Styela clava: one gene and its partner. The protein of the gene in region 1 purifies or fractionates together with the protein of each later gene. This does not show direct contact. Links are inferred from orthologs where the notes say so. Each region holds a gene or a part of one and is shown on either strand. Other genes may lie near its edges. The genes, in order: proteasome subunit alpha type-4-like and proteasome maturation protein-like.

Region 1 (7,726 bases):
TTCACGAGACAATCTGGTGGCGTTTGAACGTTCATATCGCCACAAAACCGATTTGCATCGAACTCGCTAACAACAGGTTCCCTTATTTCAAAAAATAATACCGAACTAAAACAAAAACACTCAAGAACGGGTTCACTGATTATCACGACATTCCAAGAACGGGTTCGCGCAAACACCCTGAATCACACCACTGTATATATTTGGTATATATGTGTAAGTTAACACTTCAAGTTTGCAATGGCCGAAATTATGTCGCAGTAAAGCTCGATTCCTTCCAAAAACACACTCTCGTTCAAAAACTCGTTGTTATCATGAAGAAGAATAGGTGTATTTCGCATTGGACTGAATCCAATAACTTGATAACCTCGTTCACGAAGAAATCGCCCATCAGTACCGGCACAGAAAATTTCTTTTGTATAGTGCAGGTTTCTTTTATGAAAAGCGAATGTAAAAGCCCGCCACCATGGATTTGTTTGATCCGCAGTTGTAATTGCTTGACACGTATCTTTACATTCAAACTCAAATGTGACGTCATTTCCGGCGTCTTTGCACCAAGAGGATATTCTGCTTTCGAACGCTTCCAAGTCAATCGTTGGCGGGAACCTGATATCAAAAGTGGCTACAAATTCTTCAGGTACTACATTCGGTTGCACTCCACCTTTGATCATGGTCAAGTTAACTGTAGTAACATCTCCTAATGTTAGACCAGAATTGTTGCATAGTCGCTTTTCTTCTGATGTTCTGAATTCCTGAAATTTATCGATAACATTTTGCTATTTTCCAGCAGCAGTGCCTTGTATAAATCGCGATCCATGACCTGGATTTCCTTTGCACTTGATGTGCACCACCCACATCAATCTTTCACCATAGAAAACAGAATAATTATTATCCGAATTAGCAATCCCTTCGTCCAAAGCCAGGCCTACGTTCATGGCACTGAAAACAGGTGTGTCTAAAAAAAGCTTCATCCCCTTGTCGCCATTATTGATTTCCTCATCAGGAACAAATGTGAGATGAATCGTACGTTCAAATGTGTTTCTTTTTTAGTTTTCGTCAATATCTTCAATGCTTCCAGGTACTGTATGCCGACGCATTTCATATCCTGGGAGCCTCTACCATATATATTTCCTTTTTCGTCCTTATGAGCTTCCCATGGATCAAATTTCCAGTCGTCTTCAAACACCGGAACAACATCTATATGAGAATTAAGTAAAATCGACGGCAAGTTGGGATTTCGACCTGGTATTGTCATAACCACAACCTCTCGGTCCTTGTCAATCTTCACATGCTTTGCGTCAATGCCAAGTTCTTTCGCGTAATCATCCAAGAACGAAACTGCGGATGCATAATCCGGATTCGGATGCACTGTTTTGATCTGTAAGTATTCACGAAACTTACGAACTGCTAACTTTTCATTCATATTATTCTGTACAAAAGTTGAACAGTTATATGCATACGATAGGCCAACATTACTAGCGTGCTGGTGATCACGCTAATGGCACTACTAAGTGCAAATTCGTATGCTTAAGGTTGTAAGGCAAATGTACGTAAAGTTATATCTACCATAGCTGGCATGAATAACAATACCACTTCTATATTCGACACCAATCTGATCTAGCGACTGGCGAAATTCTATAAACCCATGCGGTTTTAGAGGTAGGCTATATTATATTTGGATAAGGCACAGAGTCTTTCAAGGCAAACTATAACTACTTATGGACGCACAGTGTTTGCAGCTACGCTCAAGTAAACTCAAATATTGCTAAATAAACAAATGTTTCATCCCTCGGAATCACATTTGTTCATTTACTTATGGTATAGCCAGTAGTGGGATTCAAATTTTTGGTCAGCCGGTTTCATCACAAAAGTCATATTTTTTCAGCCGGTTCTGTTACAAAAGTCATTGACAATAACTAGTAATGCTAACCGGTTCTCTGATCTCAAAAAATTCCGTGAATCCTCAATGAGCAATATCGTTTTAGAAACGTTATGCAGTGGTTTAGTTCAGTCTTCACAAACTAGGGGCCGCGGCCCCGCAAAGGGCCGCGAAGCGACTTTTATTTTGAACAAAAAATTCACGATTCCCAGTGAATACATCATCCTATACCGTTGTTCATTATAATTGAGGCCTGCATTAACAAACAGCGAGCTACGACTGGACTTGCTGTGCGGCAAAAATCATTCGCATCCATCACACTGATTGATGAGTGAAGTTCATCTGAACAAATTCGTGTTTGTTTTTGTTACCGAATAGGCCCACTAAAAGATGAAAATTTACCGTATCATAAAAATATCTAAAATGTATATTTCGAACTGTTTAGCATTATTAACCCTTTCCGTGCGGTGGGCACGTATACGTACCCACGACAAAACTCGCTAGATTGCGGCGGGTACGTTGATGTACTCCACTGTTTTATTTAGCAATCGGTCGCAAACTGTTGGTCTAGTTTTTCCGGGTTTTAGTTTATTGATAAGAAGTCTTCTTCGAGATTAACATAAGCGACGGTAAATCTCGCTTTCGTTTACCATGGGAATTTTATTTGCGGCGGAACGAGGGAGTGTTTTTGAAATTTATGCAAATTTCGGTGTTTTTTGGGTGGTAATAGAAGACATATTATCCCTTCCATCTACCAAAGTATTTTGAGTTAGATAACGAAATTGCTACAGCAATATTATGCTATTGTTTGCCAACCAAGAAGCGGTAACAGTAAAGGATTTAGCAAATATTTCTATTTTTTATCACGGTTTGAAGTTTCAACACCCAAGAAGAAAAAATGCCCTTTTTCTATCCGGTTTGTGACTCAGACCACCCCTTTAAAAAAAAATTTTTTTTTTAATCGCCAGTTGCAAGCTCTTTAAATAAGCTTTCCAACGAGCCGTCAGTGGGCAGCAGAGGATCATTACTTTTTCGTTAGTCGATCGATTAGTTGTGGGGGTACAAATGCATAAAATCGGGGTAGCAAATACGATTATTTAATAAAAAATAAAAATCGCATGGAAAGGGTTAACGTGAACAGAGGCCGCGAAAAATTTTACAATATTGAAAGGGCCGCGAGCTCAAAAGTTTGGGAAGCCCTGGTTTAGTTCGTGAAGGTCACTAAGCCTTTTAGTGTCGTGGTCGAATTGATGAAACTATTAAAATACCTGGAAACACGTGACTTGGACACGGCAATAGTAGCCCAGATTCGTGGGACACGTCCGGGATAACCTGACTTCGATAAAATTTTGTAGTGTTTGGTTTTATTGCTTCTTCACACATATTTCGGTTACAATAAACGCACCTTGAGTCCGCTAAGATTTTCGCTAGTGAGAAATAGCCCGCGACCAAAAAAGGTTAGGAAACGCTGTGCTAAGACATCATGAAGCTTCCTACGAGAATATATACAAGCAGCTATCTCGATTAAATGATTATATATCTAGGAACGTCAAAGCCTAAGTTTGAAATGGGCGCCATATAATTTTACACTGAGCGATAGTTTAGGATTCTGATTAATGATCAAAATATATTCAATTTAATATTACACCCTATCCGACTACTGGATTAATCAGCATGAGTATTTTGATTCCAAAAAAATGACAATCGTAAATCCAAAACCACGCTGAAAATAAAACAAGAGGCCAGACAGCAACACAAGATCTCAATTATATGAAGGAACAGGATTATTTTTTCCATTCTTTCCTTCCTTATCGACAACCGATTTCCTATGCCGCAATGGTTTCACCGCGAACTCCCGATCAATTAGACTACTTGCACAAATAAGACTCAATTGCAGCAAGTATACATTGCTGCTGAAATTATGTCATAGAGATAGTTTACATCAATCATATACCACCACAAAATAATATATATCACATTAAAAAAGCTCAATGAAACTAATCGACATGATGGCAGAAGTCTCCGCCAAACAAGTGCTAAATTTAACTGTTCAACCAATATTACCATATAGTATTCGTATTTATTTACGATTCAATCACTTTGCCGAAGGCCTTCAGAATTAAAAGTACTGTTTCAAAACAAATCTGGCCCGGCGAACGAAACTGCATAATTAGGTGGCAATTTGAATTGGAAACCTTTTGGTATCTCCCGAAAAAATTCACTCGGAGTCTATTACCTATGCTATTCGCATACTCGACATGGACTTTTAACAAGGCCAACGGTAGAATAAGTCATTTTAATCGCTTTTTCTCTCCCTGAAGATATCGGTAGATACAAAAATAGAATCGTACTATCATCAATCGAGGTGTAAAAGCACGAACTGAAAAAAAAGCACATACCACAACAGCGCACCCAACGATTTTGCTTAGTAATGTGTTGGTTGACTGGTTATTAATTTGCGGAGTCATCTAATAATCCGAAGCGTTTGTTGCTGCTTCCAGAGCATAGGGTACCTGTAGTATATCATTATAGTGTTATTCTTCGGCGTTTTTTAATTATTTTTTCTTTCAATTCTGATTTAAAAGCAATTTGCGACGTTGCGGGAAATATTTTGAATTATATGAAATAATTTTAAGACAGAACTGGGCATTTAATAGATTGAAAAATGTCTCGTAGATACGATTCACGAACGACGATATTTTCTCCAGAGGGACGGCTTTACCAGGTTGAATACGCAATGGAAGCGATTGGTCATGCTGGTGAGTATGTTAAATCAGTAAAAGAACCATTCAATGATAAATTAAAAGCTTACCAACATCAGTTATAACCATTAGTACAAACCCCTCCTTCACGAGACAATCTTAAGTTCACGGTAGACATAGATAGATTCAATTCATCCGAAGAAAATAAATATACTGTAGCATTCAAGAGTTTTTGTCAAGTCGGCAGTAACGAATTTTGGTCACATCTTGGCTTACACAGGTCATGATTAATTTGTATCATACCGTGGTTCGTACAGTTTTATGGATCTGTCGTCAGGCCATTGTTTTCTGTCACAAATACTGTATCTGAATATTGAGACATTCTCGAAATTGGATACCGGTAACTGTGCCCTACTGATAAGCCAAATAAGTGTTTGGACTTAACTGCCTAGTCAACCTACTGGATCAAGTATAGTTTAGTACCACATGCACTTTTAGTGGGCCTAACATAACAAATTTTGTCACGTCATAGAGCTTGCCAAAGTATAGCTTCACATACGCTCATATGCATGTGGTACTAAACTATACCAGACCCAACCTACTGACATACAATTTGCTCATTTTATTTCAGGTACTTGTCTCGGGATTCTTGCAAATGATGGAATTCTCCTCGCAGCAGAGAAGCGAAATATTCACAAATTATTAGATGAAGTCTTTGAATCTGATAAAATCTATAAACTGGATGAAAACATTGCATGTAGCGTTGCAGGAATAACCTCAGATGCAAATGTTCTAATAAATGAACTGAGAGTTATAGCTCAAAGGTATATTCAATAGTAAGGTGCATTTCTAGCAATCAATACAACTTGAACTTTTGTTTTTTAAAAATAGACGAATTGTAGGAGCACCGTTGTTTTAACTACTTGCGCTGGGCTAATTGTCATCATTACTGTGAAGTGGAATTTTTTATGTGGTGATTTTTCCGATTAGCTCAATGAGTCAATCGTCAAATGATATAAAACAGGGCCATACATAGTGGGTTCTCAAAGTGCTCCATACGGAGCCCCAGGGCTAATTTATTAATTACAGAGCAGCAAATACATTCGAGTCATTAAATAAAGTAATCTCAGTTTACTCAGTGACATTAATTCGTAACCAACAATGTTTTTATTCTTGTAAATTTATTATGAGGCTAAGTATATAATGGTCAATCTTTTCACGGACTTCATAACACCAAAAGTTTGAGAACCCCTGCCATACATATTATGTCAGAAACCTAATTTTCTTAACATACAGGACCCATTGCCCAACTTGAATTTGACCCTCTTAAAGGATCTTGACAGCTCAATATTTATATAGAATTTGTGTTATTATTGTACATAGTTAGCTCACTAAACTAAATAGTATCTCTTTAACTTTAGATATATGATTCAATACCAGGAGCCCATTCCAATAGAGCAGCTTGTTGTCAGTTTATGTGATATAAAACAAGCATATACACAGTTTGGAGGTCTTCGACCATTCGGAATATCTGTTTTATACATGGGATGGGACAAGCATCATGGATTTCAACTTTACCAATCAGATCCGAGTGGGAATTTTGGAGGATGGAAGGCTACATGTATTGGACATAATAGCCAGGTTTGTTTCAGATAACATGTTTTGCTTTCAATTGTGACACTAGGTTAAAACACACTTAACAAGAGAAAAGGAAGAACATTTGAATATATGATCTTGTGATATCACAAATAATTTCAACAAATTTCGGATATAAGTATGTCCTGCATGGCTGAAGATTTTCTAAATTAAATATCTATCCACTATTTGTTATTTTTTGTTAGTATGGATGCTTATTGAAATTAATGACAGTGATCTTTCTCTTCTGGCACACATGGTCGTATAAATAATGTAGTTGTTTTAGATATTTGGTTTTCTGAATACAGTTTGGGAAGTTAAGAAGAACCACCGTCTTGAACATGCATTAAAATAAACCGTAATCAAATATGTGTTATTTTCATCATTATATTCATCATATATTCATCTGAGGATAGGACAATATGAATATTCTAACACAAAGTTTTTTTATACTGAATAAATTAAGTTATTCAACATATTTTTCAAGGCTGCTGTATCCATGTTGAAGCAAGAATACAAGGAAAATGATACGACAATCACAGGTGCATTGAAACTTGCTGTGAAAGTTCTCAGCAAAACACTTGACACGAATAAATTAACATCTGAAAAGGTGATATTGGATTTATTTTATTATAACACAAGTATTCAAATACCAAAACTTAATTTCATATATTTTACTCTAGGTATTTGATTATATTGAAACGATATTCGACATATGTAAAATGTCAATATAGACTCTTGGATTTGAAACCAGCGACTGTATTAGCAGAACAGGGTTGGAAACCACTTCCTTAAGAGCATGTTTTACCATGACTAATGCTTGTAGCAACCAATTGGTGTATGACCTTCTAAATTGTTACGTGTGATTTGGTGTGAAAAAGGTATTTGTTTGTTAGTCCAACGGGTCATCAACAAAAGCCATCATCCATGTTAATTTTGGATAGGAAATCTATTAAAAATCTCGAAATTTACAAAAATTCTTAAACTTGTATAACGTCCCACAACAGGCATCAGCATGACCGTATACAGTTTGCTTACAGAAATTGACTGACAACTGTTCTATTCTTTACAGGTTGAGATGGCTACATTAACCAGAGTAGACGGCAAGACTGTCATAAAAATTCTGCCGAATTCTGTCATTGACAAAGAATGTAAAGTATATGAGGAAGAAAAAGCGAAGGAAGAAGCTGAAAAAAGGGAAAAAGAGAAAAGATTAACTCCTAAAAAGACTCCAAAGAAGTGATTCTGAACATTGACTGAATAGATAATTAATATTTTGATACTTTTTTCGAGTTCCAATCTGAAGGCTGCTTTCATATGCCAAGATTCAGGCAATACATGTCGCACAAGCATGCCGCAATATGATTCGGATATGTGAATAAAAGCTAGTAATATTGTTCATATAAGTGTTGCAAATTTGGAAGGATGTTTCTGAATTCTAAAAGGTTTTGTAGTTAAAGAATAGAAATAACTAGTTCATAATTTTACACTCCATATGTATAGTCTACATCTC
Region 2 (8,228 bases), on another chromosome or scaffold:
GCAGTTTTGATTATGCGTTTTAGGTCCAAATGAGAGATTTCAAAATTGTTCGAATGTGGCTTTTGCAATTTTTCAATGTATTTAGCTGTCACTTTACTTCTGGATTCTTCCCTAGAAATTTCCATCATATCCGCTATAACATCTGCCCATAGTGGTGATTCCTGATTTAATGTGATGTTCAAATCATTCAATGCAGTCTGCAGTGTCTTCTTGCAATCAACACTTCCGTAGTCGATTTCTACTACAGATATGCCCCATTTTCCTTCTATCTCGTCATCAAGCTGTGAAATATATAAAATCGGGTCTAAAACAGTGCCGGAGTGCTTGAATAAAGAAAAACAAATGTGATGTAAAAATACTGACCAAAATTTTAAGCAAAACAAAAACGGCCTCCACTTTCATATATTAAACTACGGTACTATTATAGGGCAACAAAGATTCGACCCTATCTGCGTGTCCACACACCCGTGTTATTGAACACACGTTAACAGAGTGTAACTCCGATCTTGACTCCTTCAGAGGCCAAAAAGCACACAATGTATTGAATGCCAATTGTTATATTGTAAAGTTGCACAATCGAATTGATTCAAATAACGAATTACACTTGAAACCCCTAAAGCAAGTATATGTGATGAAACCAAATTTCTAACTAACAAAGAACGGCAAAGACAAGCTACACTGAGTGAGAGAAATATATCATAAAGGAAATGAATTGGGACAACGACCTTGTTTCAGGCAAATAACATGCACTACTAACAATAAGTGGTGAAAATATTAAAATACACAGTAACTATCCTTATGTACTTGCTACACAATTCCCCCCGACAATGAAAAAAATTAGTTTGCTAATTTTTAAATTTTGTAAGACTAGCTAATAACGATTTCTGATTGAATAATATGTCGTAAAATTTGCCATGTATTGGTGTATTTAATTCTGCATCAAAGTCGCTGATGACCAACTAATGCAACGACACAGGAAAACCAATTTGATTGAGATACCTCCGGTTGAAGGATCTTTTGCGGTGAAATCTACAGATTTTCACGAAATCTTCGATAACACCCAGAACTAAGCCATTGCGTTTGGACAATCGACTTCTTTCTGCTTTGTAAAATAATGAGCGTAATAGTTGATTTGAAGAATAATGTTGACGTTAAGATTTCGTTCGTTGAAAACATTCCTCTAAGCTTTGAAAACCTGTCCAACTCTCGGATTTTTCAATCTGGGAAGATTGTCCGATGAATTGAAATGTAACAAGAGTGTGGTAGCGTTGAATTTCGGAGAGTCGCGGGCCCTGCAAACTTTCGTATCATCAACGTTCCAGACAAATGTAAACGCACCTTTCCGGCAAAACCCGGAATTGGGTGAGCATTGGCTTAAATCAGCTAGGGGAGAGTGAAGTTTTCGTGTTATGTGATTGAAATAGAGAGGACCCTTCCACGCGGGTCACGAGTATTTGGGTTCGACTTGGTTTCCAATGATGCTGAAATAGATGATGATCGACTTGAGAGAATAAAGTAGATGTTCGTTCGTACGTTCGTCAAACAGTAGGTCGCTAAATGCTGCTTCTTGGTGTAAAAAAAATCGGCTTGCGTAGATAATATCAATGTTTTTTTTTTTTACGTAGCTTGCTTTGTCGATAAACACATTTGAAAATCCAGTAATAATATGAAGCTGTCCTGGTAACTTTAAATTGTAATGAGGCGGATTGAGCTGCTGAAGTCCATATCTCCTGATCCGGTTGACACACAAAATATATAGTTATAATATATAGGTTGATAATGAGACACAAATTCAAAGAATTTGGGCGTTGATGCTTGGAAAATGAAAATACACGAGCGTGAACTCGGGCGTTAAACTTGAAGAGTTGAAGTTGAGTTAGTACTGTCTGATCGTAGGAGGTCCTGGTCCAGATTCCTCGTTTTGAGTCAAAAATCTACCTTGTTCTGGCCTTCTTGACTGCTTAATAAATTGACATACCGCCAAAGACTGCAATTTGGTTGGTTGCTTGATTCCTGAAATGCCGACGTATTGTCCATTGACTCGATTGGTGATGAATTTCTTTTCCATTTTGATTGACGAAATTCCAGTTGCTGAATTGAAGTTGATTGCTTATTGATCACGAACGGGTATCACCAAAATATAGGGCAACAAAGATTCGACCCTATCTGCGTGTCCACACACCCGTGTTATTGAACACACGTTAACAGAGTGTAACTCCGATCTTGACTCCTTCAGAGGCCAAAAAGCACACAATGTATTGAATGCCAATTGTTATATTGTAAAGTTGCACAATCGAATTGATTCAAATAACGAATTACACTTGAAACCCCTAAAGCAAGTATATGTGATGAAACCAAATTTCTAACTAACAAAGAACGGCAAAGACAAGCTACACTGAGTGAGAGAAATATATCATAAAGGAAATAAATTGGGACAACGACCTTGTTTCAGGCAAATAACATGCACTACTAACAATAAGTGGTGAAAATATTAAAATACACAGTAACTATCCTTATGTACTTGCTACACTATAAACTCTTACTATTGATTCTTTCAGGATCAAAACCTATTTTAATAAGCAATCAGTACTATGTAACTCACGTCATCAAAAAATTCAAGCATTTTTTCCTCAGATAAATCCATTTTCATTCGAACTTTGAATACCGTTAACAGCGAGCAGCCTAAAATATACTGCAGACGACGCCGTGGTTATGAATTACCCACGCCAACACTAGATGACGCTGTGAACAACAGATCAGTATACGGCCTTCCAGGTATGTTAGTCGTTGGACCTTCCAGACTAGTTATATAATGGCTCTGTTTCAAATTTGATATTGACAGTCAAAACAATGATTTCAATTTAACATATTTCATCACACCTTAACCCTAAAACTCGCGAGTAATGACTTAGTTAGCCTTGATATCCCCTTGTTGGGGTAGGAGCGCGTTGAAAAAAAAAGTTAGCCGTCTGTGGGCGTTGAGAAAAAAAGAGAGCGCTTTGCTTATGTGTTTGGTCAATATATTCGTATTAGAGTCCAAGGGTTCCCAAACTTTATTGGCCGCGGGCCAAAATTAGAATCGAAAGGATGTTCGCGGGCCGGAAGAGTGTAGTGCCCGAAAGTGTGCAATGGTTTGGCTGGGGTTCTGTGGATTCACGTTTGACATTTTTTTAAACATGTTTGTTTGATTCATAATGGCGCTTTATGTCGTATTGATTTATAACTTGAATAGTTCGTTGGCTAAGTGGACAAATCGCTGAAGTGTGATTCTTTTCAATACAGAAATACGAACAATGCCATTTATCGGAGTAACATCTGTTTTCAGAGTCTTGTATATTATTTGACATCTCTAACCTTTCTTAAACGGCTGATAACTAAATTACTGCCCTATGTAATCCTAATACGGTACGTATAATTGAGATACCGGCATAATCGAATTGTTACCATGAACACGAGCTCAAACTGTGATAATGACATAACAATTGGCGGTTTCTAGATTGTAAACTTTAACAAAATCTATTTCATTGTTTCACTTAAGCTCGGCGGGCCATTTTAAATCGTTACGCGGGCCGGAGTTGGCCCGCGGTTTGGAAACCCCTGTATTAGACGAATATATTGGTGAGCTTAAAGTGTGATTCCGTTTTAAAAAGTTGTCAGTGATTTAGAAACATACCATATTCTATTGAAAATGGGGTTGTTTTTGACCGTTAATTTCCATTCTTATGAAAATCTTTTGCAATTAAACATTTACTTTTGTTGGGCAATCATTTGGCCTAACGATTTTATGCCACTTAAATAAACATCCGAATTACCCTACCTTCAAGGAATTCATAAAAATTGGAAGCCGAATTTTAAAACGACAGAGAGAAATAGAAGAATTTTACCTTAAGAATAGGAGAAGGATGAAGCGAGTCCCAACAAGATGAAAAATCTGTAACTTATAAAATTAATCAAAATTATGAACATAAAATAACATAACACTTTATTCTACATTGTTCATTCGTTCCATCTCTTGCCGCGTTAAATATATACTTTGTTTGAGCGCGCGTTTAATATATACTCGTATACCGTAATTCTTTTCAAAGTCCCTTCGTCTGTTGTTGATTCATTATGTCATCATTTTGATTAGTTTTTCGTGGATTTTTCACCTCATAATATTTTTAAAAGTTCGATTCGTATGTTCGTGAGCCATCATCAGTATTCGTCTTGTCGTTCCATGGTCGTTTAGCAATGTCCAACTGTTATTTGTCTTTAATGCATTGTCATCTCGTTATTTGTCGATTCTTTCTCGTCTGCAACTTGGAAAAAAATTGGCGATTAATGTTAGCTAATGGCCCCTGCGTTTAAGTTAGGAAGAATCGTGAATTGTACTTAACTTTGTTCCTCCGTAGATGTTGCAAGATCTCCGTTTGCGCAATCTGACTCCAGGCCACAAGAAGGCATGCTTATTTGGCCTCTGTTCAGTTGGGGTTAACTCCGACAACCCACGTGTAAATCCTTTTGGCAATTTGTTTAATTACTTAATATCAATGTTGACATATTATCTAGTTCGTTCACATGCGATAATCACCGAAAATTCCCTCAAAATAAATTTTGGTCAATTAAATGAAAGAATTCTTCACGGGTCAAGGGTCGAAAAAAATAATCATAGCTTAATATTGCTTAGTCATTTTCACAAATCGATTTCCAGTTACTGCGGCGTCATCATTTAATCGGTTTGCCTACTATTATTTGGAACTTCAGAGTGACAATTCCAGACTTTTGTTTCACTTTGGCAATTTGTAGAGGAAGGGTCGTGATGGTAAGTTTTGTTATTTTGTGCCACTCGTTCGTTTCCTCTTATTTAGTCATATTTCTGTAGTTGTTAATATTCCAGTACGTCCCCGGTACAGTCTGACAGTGCCGGGTATTTCTATTATTTTTGTTATTGCTGAGTATTTTCGTGTAGCAAGATAGCCCTGTGTCTGCCAGTTCATGGTTATCCATGTGGATTTCAGAATGTTAACAAGTTCAGAGATTGATATTCATAGTCTAATGTTACGGTAGGCTATATTCTGATATTCGTGATTTCCTTTTGCTGGCAGTACCGTATTCAGGTATTGCTGTACCGGTTTCGTACCCTGCGGTATTGTCCATTTTGCATATGACTGCATGGGCTTAGTGTTAGTTCTGTAGTTAGCCCATTAGCCTAGGCCTACAGGCCTACTTGTTTCAGATGTATAGGTTTCATGTTTCAGCTTCACAGTCTTCTGGCAGTCTGGTCTTGAGTGCAGAGGAAGGCTACAGATACTGAGATAGTCTAATAGGATAGGATTTACATATTTATCCCGGGGGAGCGGAAAGCCGATAAGACGGCTTATCCATATGGCGAACCATGGCCTCTCGTCCGGTTACCATTCCAAGTCGGGTATGGGATTAGTTATATTGTTTGTTTACGAAAGCATGGACTTGGTGGAGGAGGAAGCCGTTACCGACCAGCGGTTTCGTGAACCACCCAACGACAGCGAGTAGTCCAGCAATCCTCTCGCACATAATCATCCCTGCATGGGATTCGAACCCACGCAGAGTAATTAGAGGTGCGATGGCGAGCGTATTCCTAGCGCTTAGCCACACCGCCGCGCTGATAATAATAAATCTAATAATTTGTCTTCGAACAGCTGATGTCATTTAGATGGAGATTTAAAGTCGCACTTTATAGAATTAAAGCTTTGTTAAACTTTAGTGATGTTTGTCAGGTCTTTTCTGTATGGCCTGCAAAGGATGATTTTTATATGTACCGGTATAACATTAACATCTTTTCATCCCACAGACTTTTCTGATGATTTTTTCATGGATTGCTATTTGTCACAGACGTTACCTGCCAGCACTGGTACAATCCTAAACCTAACAAACCCAAATGTTCCATAAATTCAGATACAGATAGCCTATATTTTTACTGGCAAAATGACTGGAAATCCAAATCATATCTTGATTCATCCGTGGTCTGGAAAGTCTGTATTGGCTACCTTCCATTCCTCTTTCTCACTCCATACAGTAGTAGAAAAAGATATCAACAAAATTTATTATATACATAAACAGGAATCACAGGGATTATTACATTGCAATATGAAAGAAACATTATCTATACCACGTGAAGAAAATGATGATTTTGTTATTAATTCCACTTTGAGAACTGGATTCAAAGATGTACAGAAAGGGGTTGGATCAACTCATCCTATTGAATCCTCACTGAAAGATTACAGTGCTAATATGCTCAATATTAGAATGGACATGCTACGACGAACACAGGTATAATACATGATTTTGTTTTGTTTGATCAATTAATTTATCCAAATATTTGTTAAAATGCAAATAATATGCCTATGTTATCCTAGTTTGTTACTGCAATTGTCAAAATATTGAATATTTTTTAAGGGTTTGTATGCTCCAATACAACTTCAAATGGAAATAAACACAACAGCAAAAGGTGCACAAAGATTGCCTTGTTTACCATCTTCTCAGCTTTCCAAAGAAATCGTTTTGGGAGACGACATTATGTTATCACATCTTGATGTTTTTAATGGTAGGTTGTTGTTAGAGAGATATCAACTCAATGAAAGGCAATATATCGATAATAACAAGCCAATTAAGTAATGTTTCAAGGTTATTCTTTCATATTTTATTTTATTTCCCACTTTACTAATTGTACTTGATTTGTTTTAAAAGCTCATGTGTAACACCTGATGTACTTTAGTGCGAAAATATGACATAGAAACTTGGCCATTAAATAGAGTAAGATTTATAAGGAAATTTATGACAGTAGTCAGTAAGCCAATGTGAGATGTTCGAAAGAGTTACAGTAAAGCTAATGTGCGATAGGCTTGAAAAATACAGTGTTTTCGAAAACAAAAATTAATTGAATATATATATTGTAAATTGAAACTTGTTAGGACAACAAAATTCTTACTCATGTTTTGGAGCCCTTAATATTGACTATATTATATTGTAGGCCTATCCCTATGGTAAATCATCTCTAGTTTCCTTTGAGAATATTCACATAACTTCACACAAAAATAGATGGTCCAAGGTTGTCAGCATCTGGAGCCACAATATGATTATTGTATTCGTGCCAAGGATAGATAAACAGCACAAAAACTTTAATGTAAAAAAAAATATTTAATCATTGATCAATCCTTATATATCCACATTTAGGTAAGTCTTGATAAAATCTTAGGTAAGTTTTATTAAAGTTAAATGGGTTGCCATAAGCTGTGGTAATAAATAGTGGGTCCCAACTCTTAAAAAGTTTGGGAACCACTGACCTAAAGTATAGTTTATTTATAGATCCAAAAATGTTAAGTCTCTATTTGTTGTTCTTCTTTTTCAGATCCATTTCAGTCGGAAATAATGGGAGATCCGCATATTATGACGGAACACAGAGCAGGATTGAAACTATTATGATTACAACCTTATGAAACATTGATTTAATTTGGTAGATACTCTTGACTGACTGGAAATATCCCCAAAAGGGCTTTTTGATTGACCTGGTTACAATGAATGCAATGGTTGAAATGTTAACTTTCTCTGTTGTCATATACGTTTCTATTAAAAACAGATTCAAATCTGAATCAGCCTACACAGAACCCTATTTATATACATTGTTATAGATACATTGTTATAGAGATGGTTGAAATCCCCTTGTTTCTGATCAGAACGGCCAGAGTATCATAATTGTTCGGTTTGTTCGTATCCGGATTTTCGCAATGGATTACACAAACTGTTTCCTGATTATTTTATGCTTAGCAAAAACATATTGAATCGCGTCTTTCTTACAGTTCTGAAGCGAGTTTTTGAAATCGTGGCTTTGTATAAGCAAAATAGATGCTGCCAAGATTTTACGCAGTGATACTCATTTACGCAACTATTGAGCAAAACTTCAATACCAAACAAGAATACAAATTAAATTTCCTGAAATGTAAAATCAATAATTTTTAAGTTTTTGTTGTCCCCCTAACTTTGAATAAAGTTGAAAGCAGATTATATATAAGTTCTGCAGGGCCAATGTCGCATTTTGACATTGATGAATTTTCATCAACTGCTCTCAACATGGCATGACTTCTAGAGTCTAGCTCTAAGCTGAAATGTGTTGCAAGGTGTCTGCAATAGCTTACTACTAATTATCATTGAATTGCTGATTTTTTGTCTTGCCATTCACCCATTAGCAAATTCCAGATGCTCAGATTTATTTT

Evidence for each region.
Region 2: the proteins of proteasome subunit alpha type-4-like (region 1) and proteasome maturation protein-like fractionate together in Homo sapiens (co-fractionation; 4 studies listed by BioGRID and IntAct, with this or other methods). This does not show direct contact. The link is inferred for Styela clava from reciprocal best matches to the Homo sapiens genes PSMA4 and POMP.

The regions. Positions count from the first base shown.
Region 1 is NC_135264.1:10,773,456-10,781,181, reverse strand, and holds proteasome subunit alpha type-4-like, read left to right. Parts: upstream 1-4,379; 5' UTR 4,380-4,541; coding exon 4,542-4,635; intron 4,636-5,209; coding exon 5,210-5,402; intron 5,403-5,999; coding exon 6,000-6,219; intron 6,220-6,700; coding exon 6,701-6,823; intron 6,824-7,285; coding exon 7,286-7,456; 3' UTR 7,457-7,619; downstream 7,620-7,726. UniProt on the Homo sapiens protein: Component of the 20S core proteasome complex involved in the proteolytic degradation of most intracellular proteins. This complex plays numerous essential roles within the cell by associating with different regulatory particles.
Region 2 is NC_135262.1:19,620,095-19,628,322, reverse strand, and holds proteasome maturation protein-like, read left to right. Parts: upstream 1-4,671; 5' UTR 4,672-4,798; coding exon 4,799-4,801; intron 4,802-6,078; coding exon 6,079-6,288; intron 6,289-6,414; coding exon 6,415-6,562; intron 6,563-7,366; coding exon 7,367-7,440; 3' UTR 7,441-7,622; downstream 7,623-8,228. Other genes in the region: uncharacterized protein LOC120332779, read right to left, coding at 1-281, 2,603-2,650. UniProt on the Homo sapiens protein: Molecular chaperone essential for the assembly of standard proteasomes and immunoproteasomes. Degraded after completion of proteasome maturation. Mediates the association of 20S preproteasome with the endoplasmic reticulum.